2 linked regions of the Lepisosteus oculatus genome follow. The protein of the gene in region 2 interacts with the protein of the main gene of each other region in a pairwise test. Links are inferred from orthologs where the notes say so. Each region holds a gene or a part of one and is shown on either strand. Other genes may lie near its edges.

Region 1 (7,847 bases), on a different chromosome or scaffold from region 2:
GAAATGATTTTCACAATGAAACTGAAGCACACCTTACTAATCAAAGTAAAGTAAAGTGTAAAGGCTTATGTTGAGAAACAAATGTATTTGGTATTAAATCTCAGTATTTAAATTGCATTAAACTTATGACAAATAGTAATCTTAACTTACTTATACTTCCTTGTAAAACATCTGGAGACAAATCCATGTTCATCCTGTCTTTCTTCATGTTTGCCTAGGAATTAGTCATCAATTAATTATCTTTGAGTAGAATTCAGAATCAAATACTTTTTGTGTAAAGCAATTGGACTCCCCAAGCTAGCGTGAATGCTGTGAAATCTCCTTTGTGTAGTCAGCTCCTGATGTTTAAACTGGTGTTCAAGGAATATGTGGGCAGTTCCCATACTACTGAAAGTTAAGAACACAAAAGACAAATTCCTTTAAATGCAGATAACACACTCCCTCTTTTTAAAATAATATGCTCAACTTTGGAATTGACATGTAAACTACAGACAAGTGTTAACAAAAACTATGTAACCTTAGGTAAAAAAAGAGAGAGTACAGCAAAGAAAAGTGACTAGGTTGTTGGTGATACCTGCTATTTCCAGGTAGCCCTCTTTTATTTTGATGGTAATTTCTTCTGGAGAGAAATGGTTGACATCCAGGCTAATTTTCCAGCAGTCGGGTCCAGTCCTGACTTCAGATACCCCTCCGCACAGTTGCCTCTGAAGATTTGGGCTGCTGGCCGCTTGCTCATAGAATGAATAAGGTGCAAACAGGGGTGAGCGCAAGTAAGCTGGCCAGGAAGAAGACAGCCGTCTCCTCGCCCAGTCGATCCAGTTCAGATCTCCTTCCTCCAGGAAAGGGGGCAACCCAAATTCCTGGTCAAAAATGCGACTGGGCTGTGCCCAGTCCCGGAAAGGATCCCAGTTCAGGTCCCGTTGGGAAAGGGGACGGGGGAGACGTCTGCTGTGCTCTGCCATAGCCTACGAAGAGTTCACGAAAAGGCACGAAAAAAATACGAAGAAAAAAGAATGGGCCTTTCAAACTGCTGGTATTTCCCTTTCTGCCTTTTTTGGCTCTCTTGCTTTATCAAGAGATGAAGGCTTCAAAACGTGAAAGTCAAAATTAATGAGAAAATAGTTGCAAGACAATAGAAACAGCTAGATTTTTAAGGTATGCACTTGGGAGCTGATTAATAATTAGAAAGGTCAGATTTTTACAAAAGCTTTGCTCAGTTAGAACACATCGCTCACACTCCTTATATAGCCTGACTGTCCTTTCTAACACTTACTAAGCACTAATAGTTGTCCTATGAGATGTGAAAGTAGGAATCAGGTGATGGGCTGGGAGATGGTGCTGTTACTTACATGTTACACCATGCTTGGAAGAAAGGAGCTAATTAATGGTATTTATAGCTCTGGAGGGAAAATGGCAAATAGTTGGAGGATGACTGCAAGCACAATGGTGATGTTGTGTTCACTGGCGTGTTCAACAATCTTGTCACATCCTGGTTCTCTTTACTTTCTCCATAGTTACCGCTGTCTTCTGCTTTGCAATGGAAGTTTGTTGATCCTTTTTGCTGAGCACTTTCATCAAGGTGGAAACCAACTAGAAGTTAACTGGTGTGTTAGAAATACAGGGTCTCATTTTAAAGTGAGCTAGACCGCCTTAAGAAGCACTGTGGGTTCTTCGGGAACTAGTGAAATTTTTGCTCAAGAAATAAGCAGCAGCCAGTGGCTATGCCCACAAGGGTTAGTAATACTCTGTTTTTTGCAGGTAACAGCAACACCAAGAACGGGAAAGATTGTAAACACATGTGTGCTCACTCCCACACTGTACCAAGGCTACAGGGTTCAGTCATGGAGGGGTGATCTTAAAATTGGAAAATCCAAATTTGTTTTTGGAGCATGGAGACAGATTTGGAAGTGTAGTTGACAAAGTCTGAAAACTCATTCAGGATAAATTATTTGACTAAATATTGAGAAAAGAGAGAAGAAGCATAAGCATGACTTGCTTATAGAACATAAGAGGGGGTTATGTTGTAGAGGAGGCCCATCTAGCCCAGTTAGTAGTTCATTGATCTGAGGATCTCATAAAGCTGGTTCTTGAAAGAAGCCAGGGTATCAGCTTCGTGTTTAATATTAATACAACCCTTTGAACACAGAAGTGTCTGATGTTCCCAATTTTAAATGCTTCCACTGAAGTTCTGTGCTTCACATTCTAGTTGCTTCTGAAGGAATCCATTGAGTTGGCTTTGTCAATCCCTTTTATAGACTTTTGCATACTTCGATTAGGTCCTCTAATAGTCTTCTCTGTCATGGAATAAAAAGGTTCAGTCGTTTTAGCCTGACACAGTACAGCATTCCTGTAAAACCTGGGGAATGTATCTTTACAAATTCCAGAACAGCTTCTGTGTTCAAGGCTTATTTTTATTGAAGGAAAAAAAAACTATATACATTTTGTATTTTGTCCACATACTGTACATTTTGCAAACATACAATATAACAAATAGCACAAGGAAGGCAAAAGCTTTGTGTTACTGATAATAACTAAAGGTTATTTTCTTTCAACGGAGTAAAGCAGGAGGTGTTTGCGGCAAAAAAAACCCTGAATCCTAATTAAACTGATAAAGTCCTCCTATGAGAGCTGTGAGGAATTTCACTAATGAAAGAGCTTAGCATCCCCACTCCCTACATTTCTTTACTTCTAATTAGTTTATGTCACTGGTTCCTCCAAGTGCTATTAACGGACTAGACACATCTTAACAAATTCTAGAGGGAATTAATAAAATCTCTCTATGAAACAGTAATGAGAAGCAATCAAATAAAAGGCATTTTTAAATGAATGGCCTGGGGAAATAATAATATGAATTGGCCTGCAAAAAAAAATACTGAAATAACATTTGTGACGGGCAGAATGATACTGTACCGAATACGTAAAAGACTCTTGTTTCTAATGCTATAAAATAAAAAAACATATTGAACACTATTCTGAAATCAAACTCCATGAAGGGGTCTACCAGAAAAGGTTCAACCCAATTTTCAATGTTCTATCTTTGGGTCAATGAAGTAATTTTAAGCCACAGGTAGTTGAGATGCTCGTAATGAGTAATATCTATGTAGTCCATGCTCCTCACACAGATATAAAAGAATAAATGAATGTACAAAATTCAATCTATAAATTAAACACTTAAACATGTCACTTTCAAGACCATGCAATGCATACATGAAGCCAAAGAGATTTATTTCAATAACTTACAAACTTGTGTTTTACCTTGTGACCTGATAACTTCACACTTTGATATTTGTTTTCATTTCTCATTGAAGCTGTTAAAAAAAAGCTTCCCCCCACCCCGTGCACAGAATTCAGTTTGTCTTTTTGTCCTCTGGTCCCTGCCCTGTCTTTTCCTCACAGACATCAAAAGGGACAGTGGCAAGTGAGGGAGGGCAAAAGACACTGCAAAGAAAAAGCTGCCTTCAAAGAGAAAGGGGGAAAGGAGCTGCTAAATGGACCTGAAGAGCTGATAAAGTGAGCTTTGATTTTTGCTCAAATCCCTGAGCAAAAAAAAAAGCTTACTCTGACCAAAGAAGGCTTGAGTCTTGTTCTTGTACTCATTCAGGGTTGAATAACAGAAGCTGTAACATAAGTCCTTTTGCAATACATACTGTAATATATACAGTGTAGTAGGAGGTTTTAAAGTGAGATCTGTTTTATCTCTTCGCCCTGAAGGTTGAGGCATTGCTACTGTAGGTCTGAATGAGTTTTTTTTGCTGTAAGATTGCAGCAGCTTTACTGGTCCTTGTATAAATTACATGTCTGATGACAACAGCTGCTTTATACAACACTGATGTCTGAGGGCAGGGGCTTGTCTTAAGTAGCATTTCACTGGTGTTGTCTGATGAACAATATTGAAACATGCCTACCACTATGGGTATGCACTGTGGTGCATTGTTGTAATCGTGGACATCTGGGGAGACTGAATACCCCAATGTGATCACCACCTGCTGGATGTCTCTGTTGACTGCAGATAGTACAAAGAAGTGCATTCCCCACTTGCCAGGTAGGTATTTTGGTGATGAGATAACATAGTTGCCTTTGGAACTAGCAGCTGGTGTTCAATTGTGTGGCTCCGGCTACAGAACCTACAGCATCACAGTCTAATGTAAGAATCACCTAGCAATGTGATTATTCTGGAAACTCCTGGATCCTAATTAAAATAAATAAAACTGACATTGCACCCCATACATATCTGTTCGTCAGTTGAGAGCTTAAGAACAAGCCATTTTAAAAAGAGATTTTAAGAACGTATCCTTATACAGTACGTATTCAATAATAAATTCCAGTTCCCCAAACAGTGAATATCTCGATGGCGATCAGACATGTTGCAGTAGAAGAATTTACACAGTATATGGGCACACGGTAATTTCCTTGAGATTAATAAATGTCTGTTTTTAATTATTTTAAATTTTCTAATATTCTTTAAAATATATTTTATTTTTCTTGCTTCTGTTTGTCAAACGTTTAGTTATAAACCATGTAGTAATAAAACATTTGTCCTGTAAACAGGTGAAATTGATGGGCTGGTGCGGTGAGACACTAATTAGTTAACTGACACTAATTAGAATACTAACTGCGAGATCTATTAGTTCTACTTAAATTTATGTGCCGTTTTAATTAAAACGTCTGGATAACCGCAGTAACCAATTAACTTTCAGTTTCAGAGAAGCTAATTTATAATCAGACAACGCACAATGGCTGCACAGAATACAAACTTGGAAAAGATTCCCGAAACAAGTATTGAATTAGGCCCGGAGTAAAACTTCTCTATTTAAAGACGAGCCTTCCGACAGACACGTATTTATGACGGGTTGGTTCGCACTTTTCAGGAATCCTTGCTCTCTTAAATTATTCCTCTCTTTTGTTTGCACTGTAACTAAGGGAAACAAATGAAGACACTAGCCAGTGTCTGCGTGACTGTAGAAGACCGAGACGAGACGGATTACTTCGCTGAATTATGCGTTTTGTATTCTAAGAACCACCATACCGAAAAAAAAGAAAACTAAGATGGAATAGGAAGACCACTACAATAGCTCTTGTTCTGTGCGTATTCTGGAGTTTAGTTTTTTTTTTCATGCGCATTAAAAACTCTCATGACATAACATCAGCAGGCGGGGTGTAATGTGCAGCTATGCCTGTGTGCTCAAGTAAAAGTCTGGACCCACGCAACTTCGTAATTATCAAACCACTTCCCATAAGTCCTCCCGCGGGGATAAAACTCCAAGCTCGTAGTAGCACCGTGTTCAACCCCTGCGAACCGAATCGGGAGCAAGTTTTCAGGGAGAATTACCGTCGGAGACAGAAGCAACTGACTCGCCAGGGCTACAGGGCAGTAAATTGGCGGCCGTATGAGGAGATTGGAGAACCCCTTGTCCTGGAGCCTAAGAGGCTGATTCTGCATTCTTTAGGACAACCTGAACAGGTGATTTCTGTTGTAAACTAAGAAATGCATTGCTTCTTCACGTCTTACTTGAACTATTAAATAGTAATGATGTAGTCTTCATAGTATGTCAATGAACTGAATAGGGAAATGGACCAATTCACCTTCAAAATGGGATACATAATTATTAATTCAATCAGATTGGTCCGTTTGCTTTATACGACTTCAAATAATGTCTTAGTTGTGTTTTTTTAATTTATTTTTGATGTTATTATGTAAGCATGCCAAAACGCAGCTCAACTATTACATTATCCCTCTTAAATTAGTGTTTTCTCCTAGTAACATTCAGCTTTTTTGGTAATTTAGGATAGAAAACATAGAACATTAGAAGAAACCACTTTTATATTCTACAGTATGTTCATCTTACTACATTGTTTTCGTTTATATTTGACCTATGTGTTTAATCTTTAACGAATCTGTCTTTGGCAGATATGTGTAGCTCAACCTTTCGTGTTGTTCTTGAGTTTGTTTCATGAAGCCAGAAAAAAAATTGTAGGACACACTAAAGGGATAGGCTTGTCAAAAGAAACTTTTTCTAAGCATCTCATGTCACCCTTGAATAGTTTAAGTAATTGTATAGATTTGGATTTCCCTGGCTGGCCTCTGAGGTCAGAAAGAATGCAGATAGCAGTGTGAGTTTCGACCCTCCACTTGTGTTAAATGTGAGGCTATATCAGGTGGCCTTGCTCCTATCAGACAGGAGACGGGAGGGAATGTCAGTTCACAGGTCGCAGTCCTTCATTCATTCTAGAGCCCACTTTGTTATTGCTGTATGGCACTACAATGCTTAGGATGTTTCCTTCTCTCTCCCAAAGTATTGCTTTTGGTTTTATTAGGCACGTGCAGATGTCCTCGACTACTAGCACAACAACACGGCTGGAGCCTGATTCTTTTACTCAATTGCCTAAAGTCAAGTGAAGAATACTGTATTTTTTACCCACCTGTGGGACAGGGTGTATTGTTTTTACAAACAGCAATGTGTTGAAATATAAAATCCCATTCAGACTTTGGCATAATAATAATAATAATAATAAACTTTATTTTATATAGCGCCTTTAAAGGTGGCTTCTCAAAGCGCTTTACAGGATGACAATAACAATAAATAAGAAGACTACAACAATAAATAAGAAAATTTCACAAGACAGGACATAATTATAATTACAACAATACAACAATAACAATAGAGGAGACCGTGGAAGATGGTATTAAGAAGAGCAGAGGGCTGAAGAATGGAACCAGTTAAGTAAAGGCTTTACTGAAGAAGAAAGTTTTGAGTCTGGATTTGAAGGAGTTTAGAGAAGGTGACTCTCTAATATCCTTGGGTAAAGAGTTCCAGAGCTTGGGGGCATAGCAGGAGAAGGCCCTGTCGCCCATACAATGTAGACGGGCTTGGGGGACAGTAAGGAGGGCAGAAATTGAAGAGCGGAGGTTGCGAGGTGGGGAGTAGGGCGATAAAAGTTCAGACAGGTATTGAGGTGCCAAGCCATGTAAAGCCTTGTAGGTGAGCATGAGGATTTTAAAGTCTACGCGGAATTTGACCGGAAGCCAGTGCAAGGACTCCAGGATAGGAGTAATGTGAACACTTGTACTAGACCTGGTCAGAATTCTGGCTGCTGAATTTTGGACATACTGCAGCTTGTTCAGAGTAGATTTAGATACACCAGGGAGCAGAGCATTGCAGTAGTCAATTCGAGAGAATACAAATATGTTGATCAGCTTTTCAGCCACAGTTAATGATAGCATAGGGCGTAGTCTTGCGATATTTCTAAGGTGAAAAAAAGATGTTTTGACAGTATGCTGTACATGTGGGTCGAATGTTAAGCCAGAATCGAATATAACCCCAAGGTTTTTCAATTTTGATTGAAGCTCAAGTACAGAGCCATCTACAGACAGGGTTACAGGACTGGCTTTTCGAAGTTGATGGGGGGTACCAATAAGCATGACTTCAGTCTTGTCACAGTTAAGATGAAGGAAGTTTTGAGTCATCCAAATTTTTATGTCAGAGATGCAATTAGATAGGATAGAGACAGCCACGTCAGTGTCGGGTTTGGTATGGATGTATATTTGAGTATCGTCAGCGTAAAAATGAAAGCTGAGGCTTTCAAGGAATAAGACATTCCCTGCTACCTTCTATAGGTACAAGGTGTAACAGCAGGACTGCAATCATTACAAGCTCTATGATTAAACTGGCAGCAGAACTGGGGGATGTTGCTTGCCCCTCACAATATAGTAGTGACATCATTTTCAAAAGTATAATCAGTATCCATTAATGTTCCCCTAGAAAGAAGAAAAAAGTTAGTCATGTGTACACAGGAGATTTTAAAATGATTAAACATGTTCTGCAAAGACCACTGTCAACTCTTTCCCT
Region 2 (7,230 bases):
AAATAACTAAAATATTAGAATGAATTTACCCTTTCCTTTAATTTATCCCCCCAAATTATTTTAATGAGCAACTTTTCTGTTGTACAGGTAAGTTGAGAGCTATTAAATTAAAACCAATTTAAGATATAAAGCCTCCTTTGTTTGACACTTTGGACTAGGACAATATTAGTAGGAGTCTGCTAAGTATATAAAACTATTCATATGTTATTCAATTTCATATGTTAATTAGTTTGTTTTTTTTGTTTTGTTTTATTTCTACTTTTAGTATGTAATTCATACAATCTCTGATTTGATACGTAAATTAAATATAATTCTGTAATAAAAAAGTACTCTGAAATATGGAGGTGTATAATAAATCATGATGCATGGCTACAACAAAGAAAAGACTTAGTACGACTGACACTAATGGGTGCAGAAGGTTACACTGTCACGTCTCACCTTTTAACCCTGGAACAAATCTCAGCGTCTACAGATCCAAAGGAGTCTATTTTAAGTTCGCTGTTCTCATAAACTGTTTGAGATTTGTAAGGGATGAACTGTACTACATTAACAGTGAGTTGCAATGAAAATGTATGCTTTTTAAAAAAAATTGATGTCCTAATTGCGGACGCATTTCTAATTTCCCCCCACACAGCTGGGGCCCAAGACCCCTTCAGAGTGCCATCTGGAAATATCAGTGTTATTGCTGTGCTAGAGACACAGGCGAGAACTTGCTTTTCATCCAGTTGGTCAAACATACAATAAGCCTTGAAATGAAAAGTGTTTGGTATTCACATTTCAAACCTCTGTCTTGTGGGAGTGGGATTTTGTAATCTTTCCAATTTTTTTTGTTATACGCACGTGATTTTTTTGGAATTGTCATTTGTTGTTTTTTAATGTCTCAGCCTACAGCTATGAACCCAGCAACCTCACACAAGGGAGGATGAGAAAGTGTGAGCAGTTTCCTCCCACCTGCCTGCCTTTGATCCACTTGTCTTTAAAAACCTCACAGGCAATGCTCCTTGGAGGAAAGCTTCCAAGCTGCCACTATTCACTTGCCTTGGCTTGAGGCTCTGCAGAAACTTCCACTTACCTTTGCCAAACTGGACATTCTCCATGCTTGACCCTGGCCCTTTCATGCAGATGTTTTGGATGACATCCTGTATGCACCTCCTTGAAGAGGACAAAGCACGCCCTTCTTGTGTCAAGTAGTAGAACATCTTTACACTGTCCCAATGCGGACAACAAAGGCCCTGTTAAGAAACTGTTGGTGGAGCGAGTGGATGTCCTACCATCTCAGCCCTCGGTGTGTCTGAGCCAGCAGTGGAGACTGGAGAGCGTGCTACACAAGGAGTTTTGTGTGTCCTTGTCGATGGGGCATCTTAACCACACTCAGGCACTTTCAGCAGCATACACTGCTTATCTGGCAGAGGTGGCAAGGACACCATACTGCCAAGGCCTCAGGTCCAGTCCATTGCCTCTCGCTGTCTACAACTGGTCCAAAATCAAGTTCAAGTTCAAGATTGTTGTCATTATACTGATACACAGGTATATGGTATAATGAAATGCTAATTAGCTAGCTCTCAGACGGTAAGTAGCACAAAAAAACAACAATACAATTGAATAAGAAAAGAAAGACAGAGACAAAAGGCAATGTGCAACACAACAACAGGAAACAGGTAATGTGAAAAACAACATCAGTTGTGCAAAATCATACATCAACAGAACAAAATAAAGGATAGAAAATTATGGGGAGTGAACTTCTTGACATGTGAGGTAGAGGTAGATTTCAATGTGTGTTTGAGATCCGACAAAGAGAGAAGGCACTGTGAGGGTTCAGATCGTAGGTGAGGGTGGCTGGGAGTTTAATAGTTTGATAGTGCGGGGGTAAAAACTGTGAGTCTGGTAATCCAGGCCTGAATGCTCCGGTACCGTTTTCCAGATGTTAGAGGGTCAGACAGTCTGTAGCTGGGGTGTGTGGGGTCTTTGATGATGCTTAGAGCTTTCCTCAAGCACCATCTGTCATAAATGTCCTGGATGGATGGGAGGGCAACCCCAGCGATGCATTGGGCAGTTTTCACCACCTGCTGTAGGGATTTGCGGTCAGCAATACTGCAGTTGCCATACCACACAGTGATGCAACCTGTCAGTGTGCTTTCTGTAGTGCATCTGTAAAAGTTAGTGAGGATCTGGGGACATATCTTAGGGCTTCTTCAACCATCTTAGGAAGTACAGGCGCTGTTGTGCTTTCTTGATCAGACAAGTGGCGTTGAGAGACCATGTGAGGTCCTCAGTGATATGGACGCCAAGGAATTTGAAGTTATTGACCCTTTCCACTCCTTGGTTTTGCTGACCTTGAGGGTGAGGTTGTTGTCTTCACACCACGTTATAAGGAGATTGACCTCCTCCCTGTAGGCCCTCTCATCATTGTCTGTGATCAGACCTACAACTGTGATGTCATCGGCAAACTTGATGAGATAGAGTTGGTGTTATGTTTGTCCTTACAGTCGTGGGTGTAGAGGGAGTAGAGCAATGGACTAAGCACACATCCCTAGGGTGTGTGACAACATACTGGTCATGGTATGGTGGGCAGTAGTTGTATAGTACAGTTATTCTCCAATTTGTTGTCCACAGCCTTGTATTCCTTGTGTCAAGAATTTCAAAAGCACTTGGTTGTCTTTTTTTCCCTATCAGCAAAGCTCGCTCCACTTATACTGCTATATTACTCGTGTGAGTCATTTTAGAGACTGAGGAACGTACATCTTTCAAATAAGATAATTTGTCTGTATTGTTACTTTAGAGCAGTGGTTCCCCATGCTGATCCTAAGGGACAACAGCATCTGGTGGTTATTGCTCCAACTAGGCCTTTACTCACTGGTGCTAATTGATCTGCTTGCTTATTTACGCCTTTTCCACGCTCGTCAGTTTAAAAAAAATCCCGTTAATGTACTGTATTATTTTCAACAACTTTGGCATACAGAATTTCATATAGTCTCTCTTCAACATGCTAATTATGAATTTGTTCACTTATTTAGGTTAAAAAGCTCTTAACTGACAGTCATGTTATAATGAACAGCCAGATGGGAATGGTAATATATCAGACATTCCCATAGCAAGTATTTCATTTTCCTTTGGCTTAAATCCCATTGGTTACATTTTGGCTAATGCACCAGAATGAGGGGAATTCTGAGTCTTAGGGGTTGGCACAGGGTTGATATCAATTCTGAACCATAAGCCTTTATGAGGTACAATAAAATAAAAACACCTACATTTGGAATAAATAAGTTTACCATTAAGATTACGGAGAAAAAAAAACAGAAGACAGCACTCCCCCAGAATCAGGACTGAGAACTCTGATGTACTAAGTGCCCCAGATACTGAGACATTATATTTATATTTTTGTACAGCTCCACACATTCAGTTAAACCAGGGGTCTGTGACCTAGTCTTATCTTTCACCTGGTTGAAAAGGCTGAAAACACCTGTAAACATTTGATGAATGAAAGCAGGTAATCTGTTGAATTAATACAATCTAAGGTCCTTGAAGGCTAGAGAGTACTTAGACTTTAGTCTTAAATGATCTGTAAATTACTTACTTTGACAAGTCACCTGTTTGATCACAATGAAATCGTTTCATATATTAAGACACAAAGTAATGGTGACCTACAAAAGGTGCTGAATTGGGACCAAGATCCATGTTAGAAATCTCTATTATAGAGTATGTATTTTACTTGTTCAGATTTGTGCCGAAGCACTAGTATTGCAGTCAGTTTTTTTTCTCATTGTATAAAGGCACCATTCACGATTAAAGCCATCTCGCAAGTAATTAAATCGCAAATAACCAATCTAAAAGAACTAAAATAGTTGATAATTTCATCTCACAAGACAACCAAACTAATCAAACACAAAACCAATGGATATAAGAAACCTTCGTCTTCGTACAAAGACCAAGAACAAATCACGATTGTTGAACTGTAGTTAGAACTCCCTTAAAAAAAGAAAAAAAAAACGTCTTTTATATTTTCTAACTTTAGCCGATAAAAAAATTCTTCTCAACCTCTCTGACGCTGTTGTGCACCTATGGATGTTGCACCTTCCTGTTCTTTGCCAGCAGGTGGAGCCTTCGGCTTTCTGAAAAGCATGGGTTCTCCAGGGGAAAAGATCCAGATTGCTTCAGGAGGAGAGGAGAGGAGAGAAACATTCTGCACCGTCTATCTCACCCCCAACCGTTTTCTTCGTTGCGTTCAGGATGGTGGTTAGTACCTGGTAAAGCACGAGGAGGCGGATGCTCAGCATTTCCACGGGAAAACGGAATCAAAATAACAGGTATGCACTGTTAGTTTCCGGGCGAGAAGATGCACAAAGCAGAGGTACAGGCGGTGCATCTGTGTATGGAAAAGGTTATTATATTCAGCATCGACTTGCTACGTTATATTTTTGCCTGCATTGCAAAAAAAAAAAATAGCACCCCACCTAGATGAAGAATGCAACTGCTGTGCTGTCCGGTGACAAAATTGCCTTCGCTGACATTCAAAGGAACAAATGTGTTTATGGCAACTTCCTTATATACTGTTTTTGTGTATGCTGTATTTGGTGGGCGTATTTTCAGTTCAATTAGATTAAAACTAGTTGTGACGCTGGCGCACAACAATTAGAGCTTTTTTACAGGACAAAAAGGCTTCACGTCGAGGAAAGTGTTAAAAAAATTAAACGTGGTTTTTAAATAAAACACACTGACTGTAGTCGGTGCCACAAGTAAAAGCCCTTTGCTGAGCTAACTGTAAGATCTCTGGAAGCGACACCTTTGGTATTGACCACGTAAGCTTGATCTATTTACGTCTTTGCAGTGATACCTGAGAGTGTGAGCGAATCTGCAAGCGTGGTCTTTGAGACGAAGTGAAAGGTCCAGAAATGAGTGCAATTATAAACGTATAACACATTTGCATGTAATTTGTGGGCTACATTGGTTTTCCTCTCCATAAACACACATACAGTGCTCTGTACTATGTTGTTTTTGTTGTTAGAGTTTAATTATGCAGTCATGCTGTACACATTTTGCGCCTGACGTTAAGTGTGCTGCTGTTCTTCACCTCTCAACGCAGTGCTCTATATGGTCAGAAAATGTGCTCTTGGTGCGCCAGTGACAGTGTTGTGTAACAGTAAACATAAGGAGGAATTTGCTGCAATACTATATTAACTGCAGAGCTATTTTAAGCTTGTTCTCTCAGTCGTCGGAACTACGGGTTGTAGATTGTTTTGCAGTGGTTTCCTTTGTATTATAAACTCTTCAGTTTTATAACAATGTCTTTATAATAGTTTACAAACTGTCCAGGGCAAACAGTATTAAACAAAACAAAAACCTTTAAATTGCTTCCTGAATGCGATGGTGTTTAAATTGAAAATGTGGGTTAGACATTAAGTGCGCCAGGGAAGAGAAGAAATGATACAGCTTGAAACTCCATTCAGGTAGAGGAATTAAGCGAGCCTTGCTCATTATTGGGGCTCAGGAGCTTCAGTACATCTTGAAGGTAGCGTTAAACAGCTGTCACTCAATATTAGTTCCATAAATAATACAACGGTAATGATGACTTTTGGACAATAAATGTGGAATGTAATTCATTAGTGAAAAATTTAAAAACTCTTTTCGCAAAGGCTATACACATTGGGCCGCTGTGATTCTTCCTAAAAAAAGAAAACCGGATTTAGCAACCAGGCACCATTTTAAAGACTTCCTCTATTTTGGTTCCTATGTATTTTTCTGTCTCATACTTATTTCAGAGAAATCGGTTCATTTCAATTGTGCCTATGTGAAACTGAAATTGTTTAGAATAATCAATGTATTTAAAACAGCATCTTAAATTAACCGCTTTGTTTTTACCTTCCATCCGCAATATCACGTTGAGTGCCTGATGGTTACTTTTTGGTTAACAAAACCTACAAGCTTTTATTCAATTTTAAACTGTCATTGAAAATATTTGAAGTTGGTCAAAGTCTTGACTTAAAGTAGTCTGTGTATGTTTACTGTAATTTTGGACTTACTGTAGCCTGTATCTGAGCAGGATTGTCTCATTTCCCATTTAAGCTGAGAATGCATTTCTTATTTTATGCTGATGCGGACTAAAGTCAGTTAAGACAAAAATACCTCACATTATCTTTTAGTTTTCACCTTAAATGTTTCTCAAGGAGGAGGTTTCATACAGCTTGTGCAAGACCTTTTCTCTTAACAAGGGCATTAGTTTAAATATCATCCAGGTGGGTGCTGCACATTGGTGGTGGTGGAGGGGAGTCCCCATTACCTGTAAAGCGCCTTGAGTGGAGTGTCCAGAAAAGCGGTACAGTATATAAGTGTAAGCAAAAATTATTATTATTAAATGTTCATATTAGCTGTAATACATAATTTATACAATTTTAAGGTGTTTCTTGAAAGTAATATTTTTTGTGTTAAATGTAAATTTCAGTCTTCAGAGCAGTACAGGAGCTTTTAATACTGTTTATTGGTCTATCTTTTAGATAATTACTTTAATTCTTTGGCAAAGTGTAGAGTGTTAATTGAGGACAACTCAGTACATGTAAAAGTATCTTTTTGCAGTATATAGCATTGGTGAAATTAAAAACAGGGTTATATTACCACAATGTATTTGTTTGTTTGTTTGTTTGTTTTTTTTCATTGAGTTGAGGGTTTGATTTTTGTTCTTCAGGTCTGTGAAAAATAATTGTTTTATCTGACCCAGATCACTTTATTAAGCCCTATACAATTTCTTGCATTAGGAATTTGTCTTTTTGCATACCCCAGCCTGCTCTCTATGAGGATTACAGAGAGGGAGAGAGAAGCCTGGGGTCAGAGTGCAGGGTCAGCCATGACACCTGGGGTAGTTGGGATCAAGGGCCTTGGTCAGGGGCCCAACAAAGTAGGATTCCTCTGCCGGCTGCGGGATTTGAACCAGCAATCTTCCAGCCTCAGGTGCAGATCCTTAACCACAGTGCCACCACTCTGCCCTCTGCGCTGCATTTGCACAATCGCTTGCACCACCTAATACCTGTAAAATGGGCCAGAGTGCTATATAGTGGTGATGCCCATCCCATCTGATCTTCACTGTTTTTTATTTTTGTATCCGCTCTGTTTTTTTTAGAAATCAGAACATGATCACAGTTCCCAATGGTTGCATTGATTCACTTGGGCAGTGCCTGAGTAAATTCTCTTTTGGTAACAAATCAAGAATGTCCTAAGAAACTTCACCTTACCTGTTGCTAG

The links.
Region 1: the proteins of microtubule-associated tumor suppressor candidate 2-like (region 2) and coiled-coil domain-containing protein 60 interact in binary tests that used the Homo sapiens proteins (3 or more experiments, as listed by UniProt). The two-hybrid records come from large-scale screens. The link is inferred for Lepisosteus oculatus from reciprocal best matches to the Homo sapiens genes MTUS2 and CCDC60.

What each region holds. Positions count from the first base shown.
Region 1 is NC_090717.1:4,185,125-4,192,971, reverse strand, and holds the start of coiled-coil domain-containing protein 60, read left to right. Parts: upstream 1-4,787; 5' UTR 4,788-5,170; coding exon 5,171-5,461; intron 5,462-7,847. Other genes in the region: heat shock protein beta-1, read right to left, coding at 151-214, 575-962.
Region 2 is NC_090700.1:17,555,954-17,563,183, reverse strand, and holds the start of microtubule-associated tumor suppressor candidate 2-like, read left to right. Parts: upstream 1-4,122; 5' UTR 4,123-4,304; intron 4,305-5,268; exon of another isoform or gene 5,269-5,444; intron 5,445-7,230. UniProt on the Homo sapiens protein: Binds microtubules. Together with MAPRE1 may target the microtubule depolymerase KIF2C to the plus-end of microtubules. May regulate the dynamics of microtubules at their growing distal tip.